3 linked regions of the Drosophila melanogaster genome follow. The protein of the gene in region 1 interacts with the protein of each later gene in a pairwise test. Each region holds a gene or a part of one and is shown on either strand. Other genes may lie near its edges.

Evidence for each region.
Region 2: the proteins of RNASEK (region 1) and Syx8 interact in a two-hybrid assay, tested with the Drosophila melanogaster proteins (one large-scale study listed by BioGRID).
Region 3: the proteins of RNASEK (region 1) and Scp2 interact in a two-hybrid assay, tested with the Drosophila melanogaster proteins (one large-scale study listed by BioGRID).

Annotation. Positions count from the first base shown.
Region 1 is NT_033778.4:4,181,811-4,193,445, forward strand, and holds RNASEK (ribonuclease kappa), read right to left. Parts: upstream 6,318-11,635; 5' UTR 6,205-6,317; coding exon 6,136-6,204; intron 6,070-6,135; coding exon 5,950-6,069; intron 5,883-5,949; coding exon 5,784-5,882; 3' UTR 5,025-5,783; downstream 1-5,024.
Region 2 is NT_037436.4:16,585,608-16,589,057, forward strand, and holds Syx8 (syntaxin 8), read right to left. Parts: upstream 1,451-3,450; 5' UTR 1,372-1,450; coding exon 834-1,371; intron 781-833; coding exon 620-780; 3' UTR 501-619; downstream 1-500. Other genes in the region: UQCR-C2 (Ubiquinol-cytochrome c reductase core protein 2), read left to right, coding at 1-417; CG32163 (uncharacterized protein), read left to right, coding at 1,762-2,193; l(3)73Ah (lethal (3) 73Ah), read left to right, coding at 3,245-3,350, 3,413-3,450.
Region 3 is NT_033777.3:16,577,440-16,589,104, forward strand, and holds the start of Scp2 (sarcoplasmic calcium-binding protein 2), read right to left. Parts: upstream 6,225-11,665; 5' UTR 6,125-6,224; intron 1,709-6,124; 5' UTR 1,609-1,708; coding exon 1,551-1,608; intron 1-1,550.

The sequences.
Region 1 (11,635 bases):
TTTTCTTTTCCCGGTTTAATTTCCACTTTCGCACCCGTTAGGGTTAGAATCTGATACCGAGAATGCCAATGGCAGATGGTCAGTGAATTATTAGTTAGCGAATTAGTTATATATAAATAGTGTCGCAGTTTGGCCAACGACTAAACGATTGCTAATAATTCTCTTTCATTTGTCGCGGAGTTCATTTCCCTATCCTTTAATGTCCTCGAGATCATTTTATTAGGACGGTTCCCTTGTGAAAGCACTCCTTCAATACCGTACGCTGAAGCATCCATCGTTGGATGGAATAGCTTCTTGTAATCCGGGTATCTGAGCATAACATCTTCGGATGCCAAAATGTTGCGCAGTTTTTCGAAAGAATGTTTTTGCGCCTCATCGAATTGTACTTGGATGTGTCGCGATCTATGTCTGCTTACACTTCCATTTTCGCCCTTTAAGATATCCAAAATAGGCCTTGCTATGATTGCAAAGTCCTTAATAAAGCATCACCTAGGAATGATCTAACCCCAAATACTGTATTTGGTTCAGGGAACTCTTTTAGGGCCCTGACTTTCTCTGGGTCGGTAGTGGTGCCATCACTGGTGACTATAAAGCCGAGAAAGTTTACAATTTTTTTTTTAACTTGCCTTTTTTACTGAGTATCATGGAGATATCTATGTATGTATCTATGTAAATATATCTATGTATTTGTCCGGGATAGTCCTTTCGAAATTCTATGACTACTCGTCTATTTTGATTGCCACCAATATTGGGTAGTTATAAGGCGACACCGACTTCTGAATTATAGAATTTTTAAGCAGGTCCTGTATCTCGTTGTTGACGACATCTGCTGCCCCCATGGGGTATGGATATAATTTGGCGTAAATGGGCTCTTCGCTAGTCGTTCTAATCGTGGCCACTACCGATGTGTTATATGGCAAGGCCTCGTTCGGATCTGCGAAGGCGTTTTTTCGGCTTTTGATCATCCCCAGAAATGCCTTCTTCACCAAAGGTGGTGCATCTGCGCACTCCACGTTAGTGAAGTTGACGTCAGTGCATTTATGGAATGAAATCTTCTCAACCTCTTTACCCCATTTTAGTTGGGCGGAAGCGAGGCAAAGTGATGCGCCGGCCCCGATTATCCCGTCGAATATTGCAAAATCTGGTAGAATGAAAAAAGTCGCTTTCAAATAAAAATCGAGACGGAGAATTTTGTTGTAACAGTGGTGGCGCCATGAATTGAGTGAATTTCGAAAGGAGAGTCCACCGGGCGGATACCCTTTAGCTCTTTCCGAGGTCGGATGAAATTTTTTTCGATTCCGCTTTGGAGACGGCAGCGGCTCCTGTCTTTTCTTTCGCATTCTGCAAAATGAAGTTAATTTTTTGCGGTTTCCTCACGGCGCCTGTGCGCTCAGAGGTGACTGGTCTTCTATTCTGGTACCCATTTGCATGGGTCGGCTGCAGCATTTTAGAAAATGAGGGATCGACCTCCATAGGCTCTGGTGTGCGTTGTTTTTGTAATTTTTGACATTTTGCGGATCGGCGTGAGCCCTGTGCTGCCTATAGAAATACGGATTTTTGGTATTATTAGTGTAGTAGGCTGCTCCTTCTACCCTCTTCCTTTACTCTTAGTCATACATTCCTAGTCATACATACCTAATTATACATAGCCAATCTAGTCATAAGCTTATACATTCATACACCCATCCTTACTATATACATACATACAAATATTATCGAGAAACTTATCGACTGATCGACTCGCCACTCTGCAGAGAGCGCGGCAGTCAGTCGCTGTTGAACCAAGCTAGAGTACAGATCGAAATAAAAGAGACAATTGAAATAGTATTCGAATATTAACTTCTGTAAACGGCGGCTAAAATCTCAGAAGTGGGATTAATAATCCAAAATGGACGATAAAATCATCCTGAACGACTTTTCGCTGACAACTCTAAAAGATTGGCTACGTAAGATTGGCTGCAAGACATCCCAACGGCAGTTCGGGGCGATTGTCCACCGGAGCACCCCCAGAAAAACGCTCCACCAGGAAACGACATTTTTTCTTCACTGGATTTCCAGAATTGTGAAATTAACACCGATCACGTAAGTGTGAATGCGATGAACAGAAAAGAATCAACCGAAACTGGCAGTGAGAGGGAGACAAACATGTTCGAGCTACAGCAACTACGCGCAGAGCTAGCAGAAGCGAAGGCAATGCTTAACGGAACACGATCGAGCTTGCAGTTCCAAGAACAACAACAACCAGAGCAAAGCAAGGCTACAGTTAGTTCCGTTATCCAGACGGCGCCACAAAAGAGAACACAACATTTCACTCGCCGCAGCGATCCAACGAGAGAGCGGAGAGCCAGCCTTGTCACTGCCTTAATGGCGAGAGGTGCCGTTGAAATTTTTAAAATTTTTTAATTTTAAAGCGGCTATCCCCGCTTGTCACCACGAAACATATGATTCCTGTGACCCCGAGAATTCAGGCAAATATTTAACGGCGTCTAAAGTCACGCTACATGGAGAATTATTAGTTATATCTATGGGTTCGTAGGTTCTAATTACGGGGGCCACGGCTGAGGTGGGCGCGACATGTGCTGCTGCCAACCCGTTGGTCAGTTCCTGAATTTTCTGACGCATTTCATTTTGTGTGAGTTCGTTTTTGGCGGCCTCCTCCGCTAAAGTATTGGCCACAATTCCCTGTATTACAGCTTTACGCTGTTCTGGATCTAGCGCCAATGCAGGGTGATTCGCGGTTACTCGTCTTAGAGGGGGAGCTTGACTCTGAGTCTGTGGAGTATGGTTTTATTCGTATACTGTGAGAATCCGGGCTGCATGAGCAGTCCATTTCGCTTAGGTATGTGTGGGTGGCAGTTGACCAAAGACAGACAAACAATAAATAAAGACAAAGGCTGCAGCGCGGAATGTCGCGCTTGAATCGAATGAAAACATAAAATGTTATAAAAAAAAACTATATGATTTTTGTTTCTATTCACATTGATTACTGTTGAAAATCGTGTATTTTTTGTTCAAAAAAATTTTTGTTGGAAACATTTTTTTTACCGTTACATTGGCGTTGATTAACAATGTATTTTTTTTTTGTTTTTTAAACGATTCTGTACAGCGGTTTGTGGTACATAATTATAAATTGCGTTTAGCATCGGTTCCAACTCACATGATTTTTTTAAGTTTGTGTGTTGGTGTTCGTTGCTGTAGGTTGTTGGTGATAGTGATGGTGGGTGGTGGTTTTCACCACTAGTTGAGCGCCAATTATTTAAAGATGAATCGCACCGTCTTGCGTATTTTAACAATATTGTTTTTTGAATCTCTCTTTCGCTTGATACCGTTAAAAACAGCGCGAAAACGAAGAGAAATGCAAATAATGACTGCCAATTTTTGTACAGATTACCCATTACATTCTCTTACAAGATTGCACGCAGACAATCAATTTTTGTTTGGCACAAGTATTGTGACAAGCTTATTTAGTAAATTGTATCCTTTTTTGAAGCACTTGTAAATCAAAAATTGTTTAAATTGTACTTTTTATGATGTTAAACGTTATACAAAAAGAAAAAATAAAAAAAATTTATTGATTGATGGCCATGGGTGAAAAGGCCCAGTTAAGTTCGTTTATTGTTGTAGATCATCAATGGAAGCACAGTTTAACGTTGGAATTAAAGTAAAAAACTTTGCGAAGCAGTTTAAATTGCCGCGTCAAACTGTGTATTATCAATTTAAAAAGTATAAAAACATAATGATTTAAAAAAACTTAAAAGGTTTTAACGGCCTTAACAACATTCACTGACGACAAAGTCTTTATGAGGGAATTTAAAAAAAAATTTTCCAAAACCCCAGCCGTTGAAACGCAGTGGAATCTGACCGCCAGGCTTCCCAAAAGTAGTGGCCGCCCAGTTTGACGACGTTTAATGGCACAGGGCGTGAGGACATACATATGTAATAATCGGTGCCCAGGGAACACCACGGGGAGGCCACTACAATTGTAATGGGTCCTATATTTACATGAACTTCGCGTTTATTTTCCACTACTTACCAATTACTATTTGCGCTTATATTTCCGTACTTTACTATTGCAACACATTTTGGAAATTGTTATAATTGTAATTATAAAACAAAAATTTTCCAAAAAAAGTCATTACATTGAAAAAAAATTGTCTACAAATAATACGTTGTAGAAAATACTGCTTAAAAAACTGTTTATTACAAAAGTCTTGAAAAATCTTGAGGCACGAAGTGCGGACACAACGTCGCGAGCTGAATACTCTAATGACAATTATTTTAATATAGTCATTTTTGAAATTTATTTTGTGATATTATGATTCGGCTATTTCTATTTCTAAGCTTTATTAAATAATAGTAACGTTAAGGCAATGCAAAACAATAATTTTTCACATGGTGCCTATTTATCAAAAATAATATAGATTTAAAGTCTAAGAACTTTTAAGGTGAAGGGCATATTTTGTCAAATTTACAATGCATGAGCATACGTGTGCACACATACAGTTGTCTGCTATCACTGCAGGCGTCGAAAAGAGCTGTTCGCTGTAGCGCTCTCCGCTCTCTCGCTCTCGAACAAAAATTTGAGAGTATGGCACTACGCATCTGTTACTCTAGTGTCTTCGGTTCGGTGACTTGGTCCCTGTCTCCGGCTCGATGAACCAAAGGCAATGTTTGACGACCCTAAACGAAAATGCGTTTCCTTCTGGAAATAGGCTGATCGAGGATCATTTATCCTGCAGAAAGATTATGCTCCGTGCCACAAAGCCCGAATGATAGCCAAGTTTCTAAAGGCTGTTGGCGTCACTCTCTTGAATTGTGCACCTCAAAGTCCAGATTTAAATATAATTAAGAAATCTGGTCTCTTTTAAAACGGAAAATAACTGTTCCGTGACACAAAACTCGTTAGAAGGCGATTTCTGAAATCACTTCTCTTTTTAAAGAGATGATCCTTTACAATATGGAGGATTTAGTAAAGGTTCGACTTACTTACACACAAAAAATAGACATTACTATCATATTAAACCATTTAAAAGTTTCACTGAAAAAAGGTTTGGAGTTTATTTTGTCAAAATGCTTACCGACTAGTGTATGTGGATACAGCAACACAGCGCACAAGATAATCTCGTGTTCATATGTACATGTTACAGAACGACGTAACGTAACATAATTAATTACCAGCTTGATATAGGAAATCAAGACAGTAATGACCTTACTAACTACTTTAATTAATTTATAAATAAAATATTTGTAAGTTGGGTAATTTAATAATAGCTATCAACAAAATTAAAAACAGTACGAATAATTCATGTCTCGCCAAACCGTTCCACACAATATCAGTAATAACCGTAATAAACATTTAAAATACCTTTTTTTAGGTCTTCCGTAGGTAAAATTCCCGTGGAGAAATAAAATATCATTTCAACAATTTGTTCAGATTGACCTCTTTAATAAAAAAAAGTGCTTTCATGACTCTGAAGGAAATTCCGGAGTTTGGATTTATCGCTACTATAGTAATCAAATATATTAATTCTCAAAATTTAAATATATAACAGAAATAAGAAGTGAATGGCGCACTGAACACATGAAACATAAAAAATGAAGTGAATAGTCTTCTTTGGGGTTTAAAAAACACAAACTCCTCACTCCGCCCCTTAATACAATAAGCATGTTGTAACATTTAAATTGAACTTTAACTTTATTAAAAGGAAAACACCTCTAACAAATATATCGAAGGGAAAATTTCAATACTAGTTTTAAGTAGTTGGGAAACTACATCTGAAATATTAGTTGGCAGTTACTCTGCTATTCATGTAAAATTGCTGGGCGGAGAGCAACAAAGTCAAAACATATATACATGCGGCAATCCAGCAGTTGTAGGCATTCTGAAAAAATTTACCTTGCATTAGCAGACGTATGTGTACATATGGTTGTTGTAAAAAGAGAACATACCTGATTGTATGCTCTATTTGCAGCTGCATAAAAATCTTCCAACGAATGGTATTCCTCCTCAAGAGGTAAGTCCTCAATGAGGGCTACACTATTTATGTAGAAGAATAGACCCATTAAAACCTTTAACATAAATATGTAAGTGGTTACTTTTTGAAACTTTGACGAAATTAGATTCTCAGTACTCACCAATTGGACAATACCCCAAACAGAGATAATAAGACCACAAAGTGATAGTTTCGGGCCACAGATTTTCATTTTCTTAAATTTTTGTTAAACACTTTTAAGAGAATAAAAAGTTTCAGCAAACACAATTCGTCACAATTCCTCAATGAAAACTGTGATTTTGTCAGGTGAACATATCATGTGACCAAACTTTTGGTGTGGCTGTGCACAAATAAAATTAAAAAACTGATGCAAATGTAAGCGATAAAAAACATAAGCTCGTCAAACTAGCGTCGGTGAGCTAGTGACGATTTAGGAGCGGTGGAAAAGGAACAAGGGCCGTTTTAGTAATTTTAGTCACTGCCCGGAGCGTGTGAAGCGCAATGGTCAACATTCTACTGCCCGGAGCGTGTGAAGCGCGATGTCAGCATTCTGCCGTGAGCGCTGCTTCAGAAAACGGGCTACTTCATATTAAGCTTAAGTTTTCTGTCTTTAGTTTTAAAACTCATCAGAACGCGCATAGTCGCATAATAAATCGCAATACACAAAATCGTTGCCTGTTAATTTATATAACAATATATATATAATATATTATAATATATATATTATATATATATATATATATATACAATACAATACAATAAGTATAATAAATAAATATATATATACATATATATATATATAATAATAATAATTTTAATATTATTAATTTTATTATTATAATTATTAATATTTTAATATATATGTCGGAGATTGAGTAGATCTAACATATTATTTGAATTATTATTTGAATGTAACCGACATTTGTTTATTGATCCGTATGTTAAGGATGAGCAGCGAGTAATAAAATTCACGGAATGAGTTCCGTTATTGAGTGGGCATCATTTGTGTGTGTATTCAAATTAGCATGGCGCCTGTTGTTGTTGTGGTAGAGTTTTGTGGAAACGAAGTAAGGATAAAACAAAAAAAGAATTTTGAAGATGAGAAATAGAAGAATAGCATCGAGAAGGCGACGCTTGAGTAAATAAGTCTGGTGAGAACTGCCAAAGAGACAACACGCAGGCGACTTGCTGTGCTAATTAATTGGACGCTCGGCTTCACCGACATATATATATTATATTATATCATATATATATATTAACATATCCATTCTATACCCACAACTCCCCAACCACACACACTATCGTAAACAATTACACACACACATCAATGTGTAAGTACGAAATGTAATTAAAGATCGAGAGCCCTTCGATTAAGCTTAGCTGTCAATTACTCACAGCAAAGTGCAAAAGTCCGAATTCCAAAGTCTAGACTCTGCGTCGAGCCAACGTCCACGTCCCCTAAATATCCGATCACTTGGTGAACCAACTGAAATAACAAAAACTTCCGCCCACACAATCGTCTCAGGATTCTCCAATTAATCCTATTTTTCGGAAGCTCCTCTCTTAACAGGAGAATAGACGTTGATAACGTTGTTCTCTTAAGCTTCGCTCTTAAGCTATCCCAATCTGCCTACATAAACCCAAACATGCCCCAATACGTTAGTTCAGTTCTGAGTACGTTATCAATCGCCATAACCCTGCTTAAGATTGAACCACGCGAATCGGCGCTAAAGTGAACATAAAATCGTAATACAATTAACTCTTTTATCCGCAAAAGAACTACTTATAATCGGTGGTTGACACGCAATAGTCAAACCTACTGCATACGGTCAATAAAAGTGTAAAAACAAAAATAAAAATAAAATCATCAGCCATGGCAACCGAGCAAGTCAAACTGTTATCGGAATCCCATCTGAATCAAGCCTTAAGCCAAATTAGGCAAATACCCACATTCAGTGGTAATACCCCAGAACTCAGTGCCTTTATCCGAAAGATCGATTTCATACTTCCAGTCTATCCATCAACCGACACCAGTTAAAAACATGTATTCTTCAGCGCAATTGAGATGCAACTCGCCTCGCGCGATAAACGAGTTCACATGCGTCTGATTTGGTTTTTCCAAAAATATTGACAACCTACAATTTCGTCTTGTCTTATTTTTTGATAGGGTTTTATCAAAGACTCTAGAATAACAAGATGCGTACCGCCATAACGACTTTTTGGCACACGATTTTTTCGGCGTGGCTCTAGAGGTGGCTCCAGGCTCTCCCGAATTTTTGTTCAAGATCGAGAGAGCGGAGAGCGCTACAGCGAAAAGCTCTTTTCTACGCATACAGTGATAGCAGACAACATGCATTGTAAATTTGACAAAATATGCCCTTCTCCTTAGAAGTTCTTAGACTTTTAAGGCAATGCAAAGTCTAAGTCTAAGCAAAGTCTTAAGTCTGTATTATTTTTGATCAATTGGCACCATGCGAAAAATTCTTGTTTGCATTGCCTTAACGTTATTATTATTTGAAAATAGATTAGAAATAGCGAAATCTATGTACATCACAAAATAAATTTCAAAAATGACTTTACATTAGAATATTTGTCATTAGAGTATTCAGCTTACGGCGCGTAAAAAATTAAATTTGTAAAATTTATGTTTTAGATTACAGTAGTTATAATAATTTCCTTTGTATTTGCTTTAATTATTTAGTATATTTATTAGTCATTTGATATTTTTTAATATTATTATAATATTTAATATTGATATACATTTTAATATTATGTATGTAAATAATCAAATTTTATTATTTAAAGTGCACATTAGATTCAGTTGTTTTTTCATATTCTTTTTTTTATATTCAAATTTGATATTTTTTAACAGCGCGCAATTTCATCATATTGCTACGAAATTGGCCAAAACTCCCCAAATATGTAAAATCGTTTCTTCGATCAGAATTGATTTCGTCCCGAAAATCGTATTCTAGCACAACACGCACACATATAGGCGTTCTCTTCTCTTTTTTTACTCACACAAGCAAGAAAATTCTATTTTTATATTTCTTACGCTCTTAGCGTTCACAATTCGTTCACATTTTTAATCGAAAGAAATTTTGATTTGCAAAAAACTTTTTTCACGTTCACTTTAGCCCAAAACTAACCCGCCCACATTTGTTGGATATTTTTTTATAATTTTATTAGTTCTTTCGAATTGCCAAAGAACTTTTGACCGAACCGGTCAAATTTTACATTTTTTCTTATGAAATTTCGCGTTTGCATTCCCACTAGCTAAGTAATGGGTATCTGATAGTCGGGAAACTCGACTATCTTTATGATTTATTCTTTTTTTTTTTATTTATAATATAATATTTATTATTATTACAATAAGTATTTTAAGTTTCTTTGATCACTTCATTGTTATAATTGATTATGTTTTTATTATTTTCGTAAATTTAATCTCTATAATGGAGCCGGATATTTATTTTGGGTTCCTCCGAATAATAACCAAAACAAGCTTTCTAAACTTAGCTACCATAGTATTTAAACAAGAGAACTCTTGATTCTTCTAAAATCGGGTAACTGTTACATAGCTAAAGGGAGACCATTTTTTTTGGAGATAGATAAGGGGCTCCACATTATCGTTCAGCTTTTTTGCGAAAGTGCGAATTCGCAGGGTCTCATGGTCTTAAGTTGTTAAATTTGTAAAATTTTAGACCGATCGGATAATGTTTAGAGGTGCCTTTCTTAACCAAAAGTTTCGTATAGGCATTTTTTTATTGCTAAAATTCTGTTTTCTTCTAAATTCCTAAATTCTATTTAAGGTTTTAGGTCGCAAATTACTTTAATCAACTTTATTTTAAGTAGTGCGTTTAGTTTTCTTTTTAAAATGATTTTAACTATTCAAATTGGTTAAGAATTAGCGGTTTTACCGCATTTTATTGAGTATTTTCCAAGTGTCTAATATTGATAGCTCTAATCATTACGTGAACACAAAATCTGTGCAACTCTTTTACAATTTTAACCGGGACTTAACGTGTAAAGCGTGTTCGAATCCAAATGCCCAAATCGAAATCCCGAATCGCTATCCGCCAAGAATACCATTGTATTAATTAGTTGGAAAAACTTTTTGACGACTGCAAAAATCTCAGCAAGAATAAAAACAGAACAAGAGCTAAACAAGCGGCTTTCGTTGACAATTTGGACAACCTTTTTGATATTGCACATGCAAATGCAATGGATGCTCACAAAAAACAAAGAATTTTTACAAAAAAATACAGCACCTCTAAACATTATCCGACCGGGCTAAAACTTTACAAATTTAAGTTTTACACCAAAACGAACAATTTGAGACCATGAGACCTTTAATTTTCGAATTTTGTTGTGTGTGTTAGGTAAACCTAGTTCAATTTGGGGAATAAGTTCGTTCGTTCGTTTAAAATCAATGAACTAGGTCGTTCATTTAGTTCAATCGTTCATTTGAAACTTTTGCTTTACAAAAAAAAAGGTTTGAATTTATTTCATACAAGCTGTCATTGAAAATTAATATTATTTATTCAATTTATGTCAAAAACACTTATACATAATAATAATAAGAAATAATAAAGAGTTTGCAACTATATTGAACTAAGTGAACTATATTGAACTATAAGGACAGACCTAGTTCGTTCGTTCAGTTTGGTGAATAGTTCAATTTAGTTCGTTCGTTCACGAACGACACAACACCAATCATCCAATGCCTTAACTGGCGCCCAAACAGGGGCGCTGACTTGTGCGCAGACAAGTTTTCATGAGTCTAGGAGCAGCAGAAATAACTGGTCAAGGAAAGGGCTTGTCGGGAATTGGAGAAAGTCGTATTTTAACATTTGGAAGTATTATTATATCCGTTCTAATAGATACAATGGAAGTAGAATTTCACATGATTCAAGATCAGGATATGGGTTTCGAACCTATTTTAGAAAGGACAATTTTGGACACTGTGGATATGAAGGTTACCAAAAGTGGTACTCAGAAGGTAAAATTAGGGATACATAGATATTTGATCGTCAGGTGAATGATGGATTTCTATGCATGTGTGTGGAAGAGCTTATAGCAACTTCTAAGGTAGATTTATCTCATCTTAGTCAGCCTGAAGCTTAAACGGAATTGGAGATGATTGAACAATATTGTCCAATCCGTAACACAAATGCCCCTGACGAGATGAAAACTGTTTTGAAAGATGACGTTTCAGTTTATCACCATCCCAGGCGACAGTCGTATAGTGATCAAAACTTTGTAGATGAGCAGGTGCGGGAACGGTTAAAAGAATGTATAATACAGCCAAGTACATCCGAGTATGTATGAGTAAATGAGAAAATTATACGAGATAATTTTCCGATGCCACAATGTCTTAGACAAACTTCAGAATGCGAAGATATATATAAAATAAGATTTGACCAATGGGTTTTTCCATGTGCCCGTAGAAAATTTTGTCCGTGATTCGAAGTGGGCAGTACGAATTTTTTTTTTGTACCGTTTGGCATTTCGAATTCGCTTGCAGGTTTTACTAGGCTTGTAATATCGCTAGTGGCATTGTAATACCAAAGACACTAGAATAAAAAGATGCGTAACGCCATACGATTTTTTGGCACACGATTTTTTTTGCCGTGGCTCTAGAA
Region 2 (3,450 bases), on another chromosome or scaffold:
AACTGCGCCGGCGGCGTCGGAGCCTCTGTCAAGGCTGTGAATGCCAGCTACTCGGACGCTGGTCTGTTCGGTTTTGTGGTCTCCGCCGACTCCAAGGACATTGGCAAGACCGTGGAGTTCCTGGTGCGCGGCCTGAAGTCGGCTTCGGTGTCTGATAAGGATGTGGCCAGAGGCAAGGCTCTTCTGAAGGCGCGCATCATCTCGCGCTACTCGTCGGACGGTGGTCTAATTAAGGAGATCGGTCGCCAGGCGGCGCTCACCCGGAACGTGCTGGAGGCGGACGCCCTGCTTGGCGCAATCGATGGCATCTCGCAGTCGCAGGTCCAGGAGGCGGCCAAGAAGGTGGGCAGCTCCAAGCTGGCCGTCGGCGCCATCGGGCACCTGGCGAACGTGCCCTACGCCTCCGATTTGGCTTAAGTATATAAACACCTGTACATCTGTTAACCGTAATGTAACGACTAAATAAACCTGATCAAGGGGATCGATCCGCGAACGTAAATACTTATAAATCCTACTTTAATTGGTGTATACATAAATAATCAAACTTTGGGTTAACAGATAGACATTCCACGCAGGTCATAGTATAAAGTAGTATAACAACTGGAATGGATCGTGGGAGCTAGACGAAGACCACGACAATGATGGCGACGAACAAGGCTATGATGACGAGCCAGTAGCCCCAGGTACTGTCCCGCCGGTTAACCTGTCCAATGCTCTGTGTTTCCCGCTGCACACCCGTTTCCACACGGTCCATGGCATTGGCCAAGTTGTCAAGGATATCTACAAGGAGGTAGGGATTAGCATTGGTAGTGCAGGGACTGGGGAATACCCACTGTTCTGGTCCTCCACCTCGTTGCCCAGCTGTGTGGCCAGTTGGCGCTGTCTGGACAATGTGGCTGATAGAACCTCGAGTCCTTCGTTCTGCTGCGCCAGCATCTCGGTCTTTTTCTGCTTCAGAGCCTCCACATCCAAGGCGGTATTCCGCGAGGAATTGCTGTGACCTGGGCCGAGATCCTGATCCTGCCAAGCAGAACCGGATGCGGCCGGGACATTGGAGCGGCTACTGTTTGCGAACTTCTCGCGGATCTCGCGCAGCTGCGAAGTAAGTCTATCCCAGTCGATGCGCCGCTGTTGCAGCTCCTCCTCCGGGCTCGTCTCCCAGGTGATGGCGTTGTCCAGCACCACCTTGAGGTGCTTCATGTCCTTGGCCAGCTGCTCTATTCCCGTCTGAATGCTGCTTGTCAGTTGGACGAACTGGCTCGTCCTCGGATTGAGCTGCTGCCGCTGGTTGAGGTATACCAGCAGCTGATGCCGCAGTCGCTCGCAGCCCTCGTACTCGATGTCCCAGGAATCGTGATCCACCAGCGCCATTTCTCTGCTTTTGCTATGAGTAATTATCAAAAGCAGAAAACTACGCCTCCAGCAATCCAAGTAACAAAAACAAAAACAATAGCCGAGCAACAGCTGATGGCTGGTAGCAAAATAAGTAAGCGCGAGTACGGTCACATTGCCAGTAAGAAGGGATTCGGAAATAATCTTCAATGTTTGAACTGATTTAGATATTATACTTATGTAGCTGTAGATAAGCTGGAAAAATGCACCGCGATTAATCCCCAATCCTTTATCAATTCACCTCGCAGGTGCGTTGCTAGTGTGAACTATTTACTAAATAATTTAAGCTGGTCACTCGAAAATCGTCACTATGATGTGAAGTATGATTATTCGGCCCGAATTCCTGAAACTACTCACAAAAATTAAGAAATGCTTTCCAAATTGCTTCCAATTCTGATTCTGCAAGGTGGCCGAAGAACGTATTCCTTGTGCTCGAGAGATTACACCATCCCCACAAGTAACCACACCCTAACTGGTCAAATTTTAAAGGTTCCAAACCTAAATTCGCAGGAAAGATGTTTTGGTACGCACATTGTTGTCCGGCATAAGAGAGGTCGGTTCTACACCGACATTGGCGAGCTCCGGGCTGTATTGGTATACTCCATCAGGGACGGTGTGATGACCATCAACAGCACCAACGTCCCGGAGGAACTGGGCGGACATGGCATTGGGAAGCTACTGGCCAAGTCGGCACTGGACTACGCACTGTTGAATGGGCACTTCATTATTATAAGGTGTCGGTTTGTCCAGCACTACATCGACAAGTATGAGCCGCAATACGCCAAGTACATATTAAATTAGGGAACCGAAAACAAAACTTCAAAATTGTCGACACAATCAAACTGAACACAAATAAATCCCCCCACTATGCACATAGACACCATACATATAAACGTATATTTGCGTTCAGATTTGTTGAATTCCTTCGGTTTTTGAAAAATTACATGAAAATAATTTGAATTGGCTTATTTTTAAATTATTTCAAAATTTCTAAACCGAAAGGTAACAGATTATATTTAATGACGAAATTACGGTTTCTTATATAAGCTATTTTGTTATGCTTCTAAAAACAAATGTTTTATTACCTCTTTAAAATATGTAAACTAGTTTTCACAATATATTTTAAAAAATTGTTAATTTCCATATATACCACCTTGCATTGTGTGACCACCCTGAAATTAGCAAAGGGCGTTGCCAGACTCCGGCCACCCACGCACATACGATAGTTGGGACCGGCCCGGCGCGGTGGACAAAGTCACGGTATCGATATGGTGACACGATTCACCCACACATGCATGCATTGGGCTACGATGGCTGTGACACAAGGTGTGAAGAAATCACTGGGTTACAATGAGCGCTATTTATAAATATTTTGGAAGTATGCTGCAGGATTTCATAAAAGTAGTATGCAATTGGTATGCTTGATTCATATTGTTTAAAATTTGCTGTGCTACGTCAATTTTGTACTTGAAAAATATGGAGTCGTGACATGCCGCCAAAGCGGTGACTTGTCACGGTGAAATAATCGCGACTAGTAGCAGGTACGCAACTATCGCCCATCGCTAGCTCACACGTACACACAATTTATTTAGTCGTGATTTCTATTTTATTTGTTTCAAATTACAACCAAGAAGGAAACAAATCGCGACCAAAATCCGCTGGCCACAATGCCGAGTGCCTGTACAAGCGTGCGCGAGCATTCCCACTAATCGGAAGCGAGCGCATCCGCCGTTTTGAGCGTTTTCCGCGCGGGAGTGGGAAATCGAAAAGGCAAGGCAAGCCATCGGTCCGCTGCAAAATAGGGATAAATAGGATATAGTAACGTAGTTCAGCACACAATCGGGGGGCCAGCATGGAGCGGCGCGTGAAGCTGAAGACGATCAATCCGCACATAACGTGCAAGATCTGCGGCGGCTACTTCATCGATGCCACCACGGTGACGGAGTGTCTGCACACATGTGAGTTGGTCCGGCATGGAACACTACCTGCCCAATAACGTCAGTGTTTGTTGCAATTACAGTTTGCAAGAGTTGCCTGGTGAAGCACCTGGAGGAGAAG
Region 3 (11,665 bases), on another chromosome or scaffold:
TTGGTCCCGCATTGTTTGCATTGGTCAGTACGGCCCAAAATCCAGATCCAAACAGCGCAGGCGAGAAGAGCCGAAAAGAATGCGAATAGAGGAATGAACAATGTACGTATTTTTTGGCACCCAGCGACAAAGTTCCGGTCGGCGGTAGTGCGAACATCGACAAAATTGAACAGCCCAACTGTCACCCAGCCGCCACACGGAAGTCCTTGCAACACTCAGAGAAAACTATTCCTGGTATTGAGGAATCGCTCAAACAAATAAGATAATTCACTTTACAAAGGCCTTTCAAAAATGTCTTTTTTTATACAGCCTCATTATCTTTATTGGGAGCTGCAAAATGTATTTCTTTTTGTCCTTGTTTATTTACAAAATTAAATTTTTCTGTCAGTGCATTTATAGATTTCTAATTAAACCATACTAATATTTCTCTTACCCATAATTCCCTAATTAGAAAATAAATACCAGTTAATCTTCTTTGTTCACACTATCCTAATTTCAACATAGAAATTCTCATAATGCCTGACTGTCTTCCAATGAACATATTTACTAATGAGTTTCAATAAAACTAAATTTCCCCAATTATATTTAGGAAAGCTTCATTTCGTCTAAGCCATTCAGTTATCTATAGTCTTCGATTAGTGATTTTAACACCTAAGAAACTACTAGCTTTTTATCGCCAAAATAGTCGCTAAAATCATTAAAATAAACCCCCTTAGCCACGCTAGATTAATTTTTTGTTTATTTTAGTGACCATTTCTTTGAGTGCCATTTCCACGAAGCCCTGCGTTTGGCTTTTGGCCATGCGGGCGTACCATTATCATTCGCAACGGTGTGCAAACGGCCACTTCAGTGCCAGTGTCAAGTGTTTGGCGTTTGCGTTTTATGCCCTTTTTTTCGACGCTGCTCTTTTGTTATATCCTGACCAGCTGCCGCCGAAAGGCGGGCAGTGAGCCAAGTTAGCAGAGAACATTTTGTGGATGGGAATCAAGGGATGAGAGAACCGCACCGCACCGGTGAATTAGTCATAATTGAAATGCACTTAAGCTTTATCACACACAGTGTTGCCTACTTTCGTGAGCTCTCCACGAAAGTTGTTCCTTCGACATTTGCATTGCGTTTAAATTAATTTTAAATTGGCAAGTTTTGTTTGACTTCCCTGACAGGCAAACACTCCTGTGCATTAAACATGGAACGGAATACACTCCACGTATTTAAGTGGATTTCAAGCACTTACGTATACGCGATGCAATAGGACCACATTACGTATACGCGTTGTTTTTCACAGCACATATGGTGGTGCTTAAATCGAAAGTGAACGTCACGCTTATGTCTGTCATTCACGTTGCGATTTTATTATAGAAATTCTCATAATATCTTGGCCGTGTTTTACACTCCTATTAAAGCCGACTCCTCCACTTCGGCTCCAACCTAATCAAAGTTTTCCCGTCCCATGACTGGGATTTTCCCCTTAAAATGGACGTCACGTGCGGTTTGCGACTTGCAACTCCTTTTTTCCACATCGGTCATTCTTCATTCTGATAAATACTCACCAAAGAACACATTGAACAGAAAAAGCAGCTTCTTTTTGCGGAAATCGGAGATCGACATTATTGTGTTGGTTTTTTTTTTTGTGTGTTTGATTTACCGCTGGTTGTTTTCTTTATTGAGCTTATATTGGCTCACCACAGTTGCAACCGGAAATGGGGAACTGCAATGACAATGAAAAATACAATTAAACGGACATCGTCGATGGCAGAAAATGGCAAATGAAGAGTATTCGGAAACAAGGCTGCGTTTAAATTTAAAGTTCTTTCTCAATTAGGGGTGGTGCTGCCTCGTAAAAATAACAGTCTAGGAAGAAAAAAAATATTAAAACCAAAACTAGCAGAATAGAACCAGGGGCAGCAGGAAAACGGATTGGGTTAGCTCTAGTTGACTGGCTTGGTTTATGCCAGCTAATTCGGGCAAAGGAAATAAAACAGGACTGTCTAAGGATGCGAAAAGAGCGAAAGCGCTGTTGTGCGCAATGCAAATGCATCCTGGGGGAAAAGAGGCGGGTCGAGTGCCGAGCTAAAAGCGACACAAATGCAATGGCTTTGCCTCAGACAGCCCCCAGCCCCGCCCCCTTTGCGAGCGTGCGAGTGTATGCTTATGTGTGTGTTTGTGGGGCTCATGGCTCATTTAACCTTCAATCAGAAGCCAGTTGCAAGGCAGGGCCATGTGCTAAATTAGACAGAACTATATATGCATGCATGCATTGTGGAATGTATCTTGGCAGTGCAGACGCAGTAAACAGGCCCCCAAACATCAAAAGACCAGACCGGGCCATTGCCAGCGCTCAAAGCTGAAAGCCTGTGAAAGCCTTCGTGTTTGCATTAACTGCCTCTAAAAGAGTACCTCATATTCACAGCGTTTATGGGTGGCGTTACGCGAGTCTCAAGGGACTTTAAATCGAGTGCCGAGTGCTTTGCCAGAACCCTATCGGATTGAAGAAATTGAAAGAAATATAACGTATAAACTATATGTAATAAAATACATCTCCCGAATAGAATTTAAAGGCAGAACAAAACGCATCGTTCATGTTCACTATCTTTATTTGGAAGAGGCTTAAGTCATTGTACAAGCCTAGTAAATATTTGCCTTAGTTCATTTCGGGTATCCCTTACCCCAGAAACTGGTGTTTGTTTCGCTCAGCTAGGAGCCGCTAAGGTAGCCAAAGCATAATTCCACAACAGAGGGAAATTGCAGCGAGGATGTCAAGTGGAAAGTGGAATGCAATGAACATGACAACGGCAACGGTAACGGCAACGAGGATGCCGGGATGGCCAAGACAGCGTCGATGGCCAACGGCTGATGCCTGATGGCTGATGGCTAAAAGCGGACCACTTCCGTTTGGCAAAAATGCAGTTTGTCTCGGAAATGGAATTAAATAGAATTTCTCCGAGTCGAGCTTATCGAATTGGCAAGAGGCAAATTCAAATAAGACATCCGATCTAGGAACGGCGTAAAGGTTTCTGGTCAAGTGCGCGTAAATTTGACTCTTACTAAAGATAATATTATTATATTATTATGGCGAAAAGGTTGCCGTTTGTAAGCCAAGTCAGGGCTGAAACATGCAAGAAAATGGTGGGGAAATTGTTATTCTAATGGAAGAATTATCAATATTGGTTCTATTGCCTTCGGGCATCTGAAGTGCAGGTGAGTGCTGGCTTAAAAGTGGATTAGTTCAATTACAATTTATGAAAAACGGAATAAAATCAACAATATTACCCACATTTTATTTAAAATTATGTCATAGCAAGGTCAAAAGTTAAGAGTCAAAATAAATTAAAAAATAATCTGGCCCAGTATTCATAATGCTGTATATTGCAAAAATTCATAAGCTGCATAAGCCCTCCTTCCATTTTCCCTTAGAACGATTAATCTTGTGCAAAGCTGACTTTGGCAATGTTAATTGAATTCACAAATTTCGCTGTCATAAAGGTTAATTTTGACAATTATTGCAATAGGTTAAATCGCTTGTTTAATTAATAAATTAACGATGGCCTCAAACAATGCGGCAGCCGATGTCAACTTCATTTAGCATTTAATGCACACACATTTGCGCGCAAAAATCAGACTGTCACAGTTCATTAATTTCCCACGTGCGCCTCAATTAACATCAGGTGAAATTGGAGTGGTAGTATGTTGGTTAAAATAAAAAATGAATGCTGAAAAAATAATCCACATCTCAACTGGCTAAAAGTACACAAAAAGTGTAATATTCAATTTGGCGCCCTTTCCATCTCCATTGGCAATTGCAATTCCGTGAGTTTCTTTCCAGAAGGGAATGAAAAGTGCTTTTCAACTGAAATACAATCACGTAGCCAGGGGCATAAGGAAATTAATGTTTTTATACGGGAAAATACAAATCAATATGAGACCACTTGTGAAATTTGTTCGTCGTTTAAGACAAATGAAACCGTTTTCATACAACAGTTTGGAGCCAATAATATTCATCCAAAAATATTCATACTATTTAGTTCTGTTATATTCTGATATATTCTCTCCTAGCATAAATCTTTATATGTTTATAAGTTTATCAATGCAAATAAATATATATAAAAGGTGATATAAATGGTCTGCTTGTTCCAGGTCAATTGGAAACGGGATTAAGTTCGACTGGATAATCTACGAGCCTGCTAGCCAATGCATTGCAATGCAGTGAAATCACATTTCAGTAGCACTTTCGAAATGGCTACGGGAAATGGCCGTGGAAATTTAAAGCCTTTTAATAGCCTGATGTGCGTATTATTTATCCTCGCATTTAATAATTAAATATGCGCGCAAATTGAATTCATCGATGTCATTTGTTTTTCAGTTTTCCGCTGGGTTCCGCTTTGTAGGGCGCCGAGCACATTACGCATACGCCGTGTGGCGCGGAAGTTTGTTTGTCGCTGTGGCACGGTCATTTGTGCCGCCGCCTTCCCATTAATTACCAATACTCATGCGCCAATGCATAAAAGCCACGCGCTGTTTGCCACAAAACTGCGTCGGCTTTTGTGGCACGAGGCAACCACATTAACCAACATCACCGCCGAAGGCTCGTTAATTGGGTTCTGTTTGAGTTTCGCTTTCATTTTTCGGGCCATGCAGCGCAGCAACGAGTTTCTAATAATGGAAATATGGCGGAAATCCCAGACTTTTATCTCCTCTCCGGCAATTAATAGCCATCTGTGAAGTTATAAATTTCAATATGAAGACATCAATGCTTTAATTGCTTTTTTAGTATCGGCGCGCGAGATGCGAAATGGTTTCATTCGATACAGCAATTTATTGGGCAATCAAATTAGAGAACACCCTACCACTCGTTTATCAACACAATTTGATTTGCATAAACTGGTTCTTGTTTTTTGGTTTGGGCTGCAATGTGTTTATTATGCAAAATCTGAATTCCCGACAGGCGAGGGCAGGCAGGAAGCTCATAAATTATTAGAGAATAAAATGTGGGATGGGGTCCGAAAAAAATGCAGATAGCTGACAAATGTTAGGCAGTGCTGAAAAGTATGCTACACTCTGTCAGACATGCGATTGATCGATTTTCTGGACAAATTGTAGTAGTTTTGATTGCATCAGCATGCAAATTGGACAGTGGAATACGTATTTGGCCTGCCATTGGCAGGGAATCTACAACTCGGTTTGCTGATCCCAGCAGCAGCCTAATCCCCCCGATGACCAGATGACCCAATCGCTTTTCCAATTCTCACCCATCTTCATTCTCAATTCGAGTTGGACGATGGCACAGTTTTCAACCGTCGCTAATTACTTTTGCGCTGCCGTAAATTTGCGCAGCCAATTTAAAATAATAGACAATGCAAGTGGCGTCGCCGTTTGCTCTTTATCTGCTGATGCAGCTCCGGGAATTGTCCGTGGTCCGCTGTCCACTGTCCGCCGTATTCCGCGTCCACTATTTGCCTTTTGTTGCATTGTCCGGTTCGCAGTAATTTCGTGTAATTTGCATTAATTTACAGTTTGACAATTTACAGTTTTACAATTTACAATTTGCAGCCACCGAGGAGCTGTGGAGCCAAGGAGCTCACAATGAGCGGCCTAAGGCCACCGACGCATGCCTGGCCAAACAACAGGACCGAAAAAACAGACACAGGCTGGCTGACTGACTGACTGACTGACAGGACGAGGATCCTTAGAGCGGCAGCGTTCGCTTCTCCTTGGCTTGGCCAGAGCAAAACTTTGGCCACGCTTTCAATGAATTCATTATGGCCCTGACCAAGGTGGGGCGAAGTAAGAATATTCTTCCAGTTGTTAAATTGTCGAGAGGTTGGTTGTGTTTTTTGCAAAAGTACCTCCAGCATACCCTACCCCCACCTTTCTTTCACAAACTATCTGCCCACTCAAGGAAAACTGGGGCTCTGGTTCCTGTTGAGCCTCGCAGCTCTTTGAGCCACCCACTTGTGCTCGTTACTTTTGGCTTGTTCTTTTGTCGGTTTTGGAAATGGGCTTTTTCGAAAAATGTTGCGGCATTATTATTCTTGTAGCGGAAACTCTCAGCACAAACACAGGTGCACTAGCACTAGCACTCGCACACACACACACACTCACACACAGAGATAGACGTTAACTTTACCGTTGCTTCTAAACTGACTCTACACTTTCTGATTAAATTTTGGTACCCTCTCGAACTGGACTCGTCTGCTCGGCAGCGCGGTTGGCCGTCTTGTGATGCTCGTTGCCATCGAGTCAGCGGCTTTTATATGCGCTACTCGTCTGCGCCGCCATCTCTGCCAGCGTCGGCAGAACTCGAGCGCTCTGGGTGCTCTATGTCATCGCAGGGGCTTTATCTTATCGCAGTCGCCGTCTCGGTCGACTCTGCCGACGCCTCTGCACTCGTCATGGTGTGAGTGAGTGCTGCACCCGACACGAGCCTGTGTGTGTGTGTGTGTGTGTGTGTGCGTGTGTGAGTAAGTGTATGAGTAGATGTAGTGCATGTAGCGTGCTTTTTGGCCACCACGTGCACTGTTACGAGCCGAACATCGGCATCGCCGTCGTCATCAGCATGCGGCATATTTGCTCGTGGGTTTGTTTTGGGATTTGACACTCGCAGAAAACTCCATGCTGGGCGCTCTGGTAGCCGGAATGCACTTTATATTTTGGTAATTAAATGGCACGTCTTATCGGAGCGGCATTCGCATACAATGTTGGGCTCAGGGGTTACGACGCCTCGGGTGGCCAAAAAGACACTGAGGGATGTGTGCTGGCTTTCTCGTTTAGTTACTACCAAAATTTAGAACTGTTCTAGAGGTTTTCCTAAGCCAACTTTAAACGTTGATCGCCCTTTTATCGCAAAACTTTGTTCCATCGAAGAAGCAAAGTCTAAGCTGCACAAAAACAATGATAAAGCCGAAAAGGAGGCAATCTATTAGTCAACATAAATTACTAATTTACCAATAAACTATAGCACGCTCCCCATAATACAGCAAACGTATACTCGAAGATAAATCAACATAATAATTTCTTCTGGGAAATAATTCAATTAATTACAACTTGGCAAATAAACCCCAAAGGATTTAAAAGAAATTGAGTTTTGCTAACAGCACATTATGATCACGATGATGTAGATGAGACCCAATACAACATAATACTCGTACAGCATCCACCCAAATACATCGACATTGTTTGCAGTGCACCACAACATAACAAATCAAAATGTGCAAATGTTCTGGACAAATTTTTAGCATAGCCTTGACACACACACAATAAACTGAAGCACTCACACAGGCATGCTCTCCCTTAAAAGAAGGCAACACGGACACACACAAACACATAGGCTGGCTGTGGACTCAACTTGGCTAAAGTTAATTTGGCCCAAAGAAGAAGGCAGCCAAAACAGCTGCTGCAAGAGCAGCAGTAGCAGCAATATAAGGCACACTTGGCGGCATAATTTCTGTTGGCGCATTCAATCTTGTCCAAGAGTGGACCACCAACCGACGAAAGTGGCTAGAACCGAAAAAAAAATGAAAGCATTTTGGCCAAGCAATTTCCAGGCTGTCTGCTGGGTTTTTAATTACACAAAGCAGACATATACAGCTCATGTATTTCAGCTGTTAATTGTCAAGTTTCGGCTGAAATGTCGCTACCAATTTATCAAGCGCCTCAGGAGCAGGCTCCCCGTGCCTTTTTGGCCCACATCCTGTGCTTCTCGCCCAGCGGGTGTCCTGCAGCCTCTGCTTGTTCCACTTTCACGCTGTTCCAGCAGCAGCTGATGCTTATTGCAGATGACCGTTTTACCAATGTTTCGTTCCGGCCACCTTGATTTCTTTTTGTAAGTGTGTGTGTGTGTGTGTGGGAGCGACGGTGCGTGTTGGAGTGGGCAAATGTTTAAATTTGTGGCCTTTTTACCTCTTTGCATCTCAAGTGGCCAAAGGCTACGTCCTGTGTGTGTGTGCAGGAAACGGAAGCCGACATTGACACAGTTTGAAATTAACATGAGCCTGGCCAAAGACCCACTAAAATCTTGAATGCCTTCTAGCGTTTGGCCCCATTTCACAACGTTTAGCTGTCCACCTATTTCATGTAGTTTTTTTTTTTTTGTTTTTGGGCTTCCATTCCACGTCTGCTGCATCGCCTCTTCCCTTCATTTTGCTCCGCCGCATAAGTGGGACCACTAAACGTTCCGTTGTGGCTCACACACGAGCGGACGAAGTACACTGAGAAAAGTTGCTCCAAAAACCCAGTCGAGCAACTAGCAAAACAACAGTAAAAGGCTATATGATTATGAATATATAACAGTGGGTCAAATTGTATGGGAGTAAAAATCACAATTGGTACATTGGCAATATGACTTAAGAATCAATAAATTCATCGTTATGTTTTATCCCACTTTTAAATATATTAAATACCCCTCCAAATCAACAGAAAAGTTTCTTTCCTTCCTTTTAGTAGTAAATGTAAAATACGTAAATTAAAACTTGAAAACTAATTAATATTTTTAATGGTAATTGTAAAATCCTTAAAGTGTAGGCACATTAAAGGTGCACGGTAACGGCAAATTATTTGAGTACAGCAGGGCTGCCACCCAGGACCCTCAGCTGCCCTCCTCCCCCGCATATGGTTCAGCTGCTCCAGCTCCCGCTGGCCACCTTTGTGCGGAGGACGTTCCGTGCCAGCCAGCCACACACTCGTCGCTTACCTGCTCGGCAATGGCAACTTGATTAGACCAACATGAAATTAAGTAATTTTGCTGTATTGTTTAGTGTTCCAGCTTGGCAACAAAAGTGGGTGGTGGCAGATGGGTGGCCCTCCTCCGGTAGCAAATGGCAGCAATGGACCCCACAATGGCCACCGAGAACAAAGCGGGTCACAAAAGAAACCACCAAACAAACCGAATTTAATGAAAACATTTGTATCCCAGCCGAGGATGAGTCTCCGGCTCTGGACTCTATGGAAAGAAAAATAGAAGAAAATAAATCATTTATCTTGGAGCAGCGAAAAGTTTGTGAATCATATATGAAATTCCATTTGCACCCAGTGGATGCCACCGAGATAAGCTCCGTAAAAAATCAAGCACACGCTCAGCAGTATTTTCATATAATAGAGCTGGCTGATGCCGAATGCAAATCTCGTGTGCCATCATGGGCAACTTAAACCAAATTGCATTTACCTCCATTGCAGCAGCACTCACTGCCGTTTCGAAGGAATCATCTCATTTGGCATAATCAGAAGCGGAACACTTGTACCATGTGCCATGAATTCTCATATCGCAAATGGCGAGTAAAACAATTTGAGTGTTTCGGCGAAAGAAATTGCATATAATCCACCGAAAGTGGAATTCCCTTTGAATTTAAATGTGCCGCGAAAGGCGAGCAGCCGAAAAAACGTTAGGGCAATACGTTGACCCCTCCTAATTTCCATCTCCCAGCCAAAGGTCCTCCGTCCACTGATTTCACTGGGTGGGGCGTTGCAAATTGCGGCGTTTTGGGCTAGGACAGGTGAGCAAAGCGTTAACCCTTCAACGCCCCCGCCCAACGACCGTCTGGGCCCGAGGTGCTACCGTCCTCGTCCTTGCTGCTTGTGCAGCTCCTGCTGCCCGGGATTAAATCAGCTTGCCCCAAAATAACGCAAGCTTGTCATGCATGGCTGTGTGGCAAAAAGGGGGCGTGTCGTGGCCGGGTACCCGGTGCTTGTCTGTGTAATTTACTATTATTTTTTAAGCACTTTGCTTTTATGCTCGCCGCTGCTGCTACCTACGTACATACAAACATTTTTATTGTTTGTTTCATTTGGCATTTTGTTTGTCTTCAGCTGGGCGTCCTTCTGCCATTTCTCCCCCAATTGTGTGAAGAAGTGGTAAAGTGGCGGGATGGGAATCAACAAAGAGAGAGACCCCGCAGTTGCACGTGAGAAATTACACATGTCCTCCAATGTTTTCAACATTTCTGCATGCGATTGCAGCAGGAGTATCTGGATCCGTGTCTGTATCTGTATCTGTATCCGCCACTGCACCAGTATCTGTATCTGCATCTGTAGTCGCAATCGCATCTCTGACTATTTGTTTGTTCTCTCATTTCACTGTTTGTGTGTTTGTTTTTTGGGGGGAAAGCCATGGCTTTCTTTTTGGGAGGGCACACTTGTGTGTGCTGGCTGCCAGATTTATGTTTTGCCAAACGGAATGTGTCTCGTGTAGTTTAGTCGCAGCACTGGAATGCCCAGACCCAGATCCTTCGCATCCTTGCAGTCATGCCGAATAGCGAATTGATGACCCGAGATTTTCGCTGCAGTTGCAGATTTTCTTTCAGGCGGGCCAAATTCAATTTACCGCCGGCCCGGGAAAACGCTTGCGCAATTATTTCCACCTGCTTTGAGGATCATTGCGGAATTATTACATTTCCCACCCACAAAACAAAGGCTTACATAACGCCCTCAGCTTTCCACTCTTCAGACCGCATAAACTGAATTTTAATTTGACTCGCCAAAAGCCTGTCCACCGCCACTGGGATCACTTTTTTAGCCCAGCTGACCTTCCAAAGGAATTCGAAATTCTTTTTTGCTTACAGCCAGGAAGCAGTGCAAACAAAATACTAAATACATGGGAAATTTAAAATTGGCGCTCAGTGGAACGGCAATGCTCTATAAAAAGAACGATTTTGCTGGGTATCGTAGGCCTATGTAAACATTAAACAATATCTGCTATCTCCCAGTCAGCTGATGTGATATGTACTTGACAATTCGCAAAGATAGTGCAAGATTTATTTGCAGGCCAGTATCTTATGTTTGAGAAGCTATTTATGTCGAAATCTTTGCCATGGAAACAAAGCAACAAATAGTCATTCAAGAATAGCCAATGCTGAAATATATGGTTCAAATATTTTGAAATGGAATTTCTTATAACTAATTGACGGCATAACATATTTTGGAAATTTTTTTAACCAATCGCGTATTTGAAGCTTTTCCAACTATGTTTTTTTTGCAACTAAAATCAACATTGAAACATAATGGATATTTTATTGTCATACTCATAGGCTTATCATGTTTGAACGTTTTTCTCTCATCATGCGACCATTTGCATACTTTCTCTGAAATTGAGAGGCCTCTCGGAGGCTAAAAAAAATTTTGTTACCAAAAGGAATTCGGATCATTATTAGGAATATGTAAACAGTGTAGCAAACAATCCAGAGTAATGACAAGCCCTTCTGCCTAGCGATTTTGCCTAACATTTGGCCAATACCCGTATGCAAGCACATATGCAAAATAAATACCAGACAAACGGATGGTATAATAACAATTATTGCCTCGCCGGCCCAATTTTACAATCCCTACTTGGCTCGAATGTCGGGCGGGACGGGCGCAATGACAGCGGAAGCTGAAAATTTCATTGATTTTGGCAACGACTGTGGCGACGGAAGCCATGAAAAAGCCAGCAGTCAGCAGTGGGTCTCGACTTCTGTGCCAAAAATGTTGCAAGCGGCAGGCCAAACCAGACCGTTCCACTTGACTATGGTAATTTATATCTCCGACGACCTCGCCTGCCACTGAGTGGGTGTCCTTTTTCGGAGGGCAGGGATATGTGGATGAGTGGGTGATTAGGGGATTGGGTGACTGGATGACTGGGTGATGTGTGAGGTCTAGGCTAAGGTTATGACATGGCCTGGCCAAGCATTGCCAAAGAATT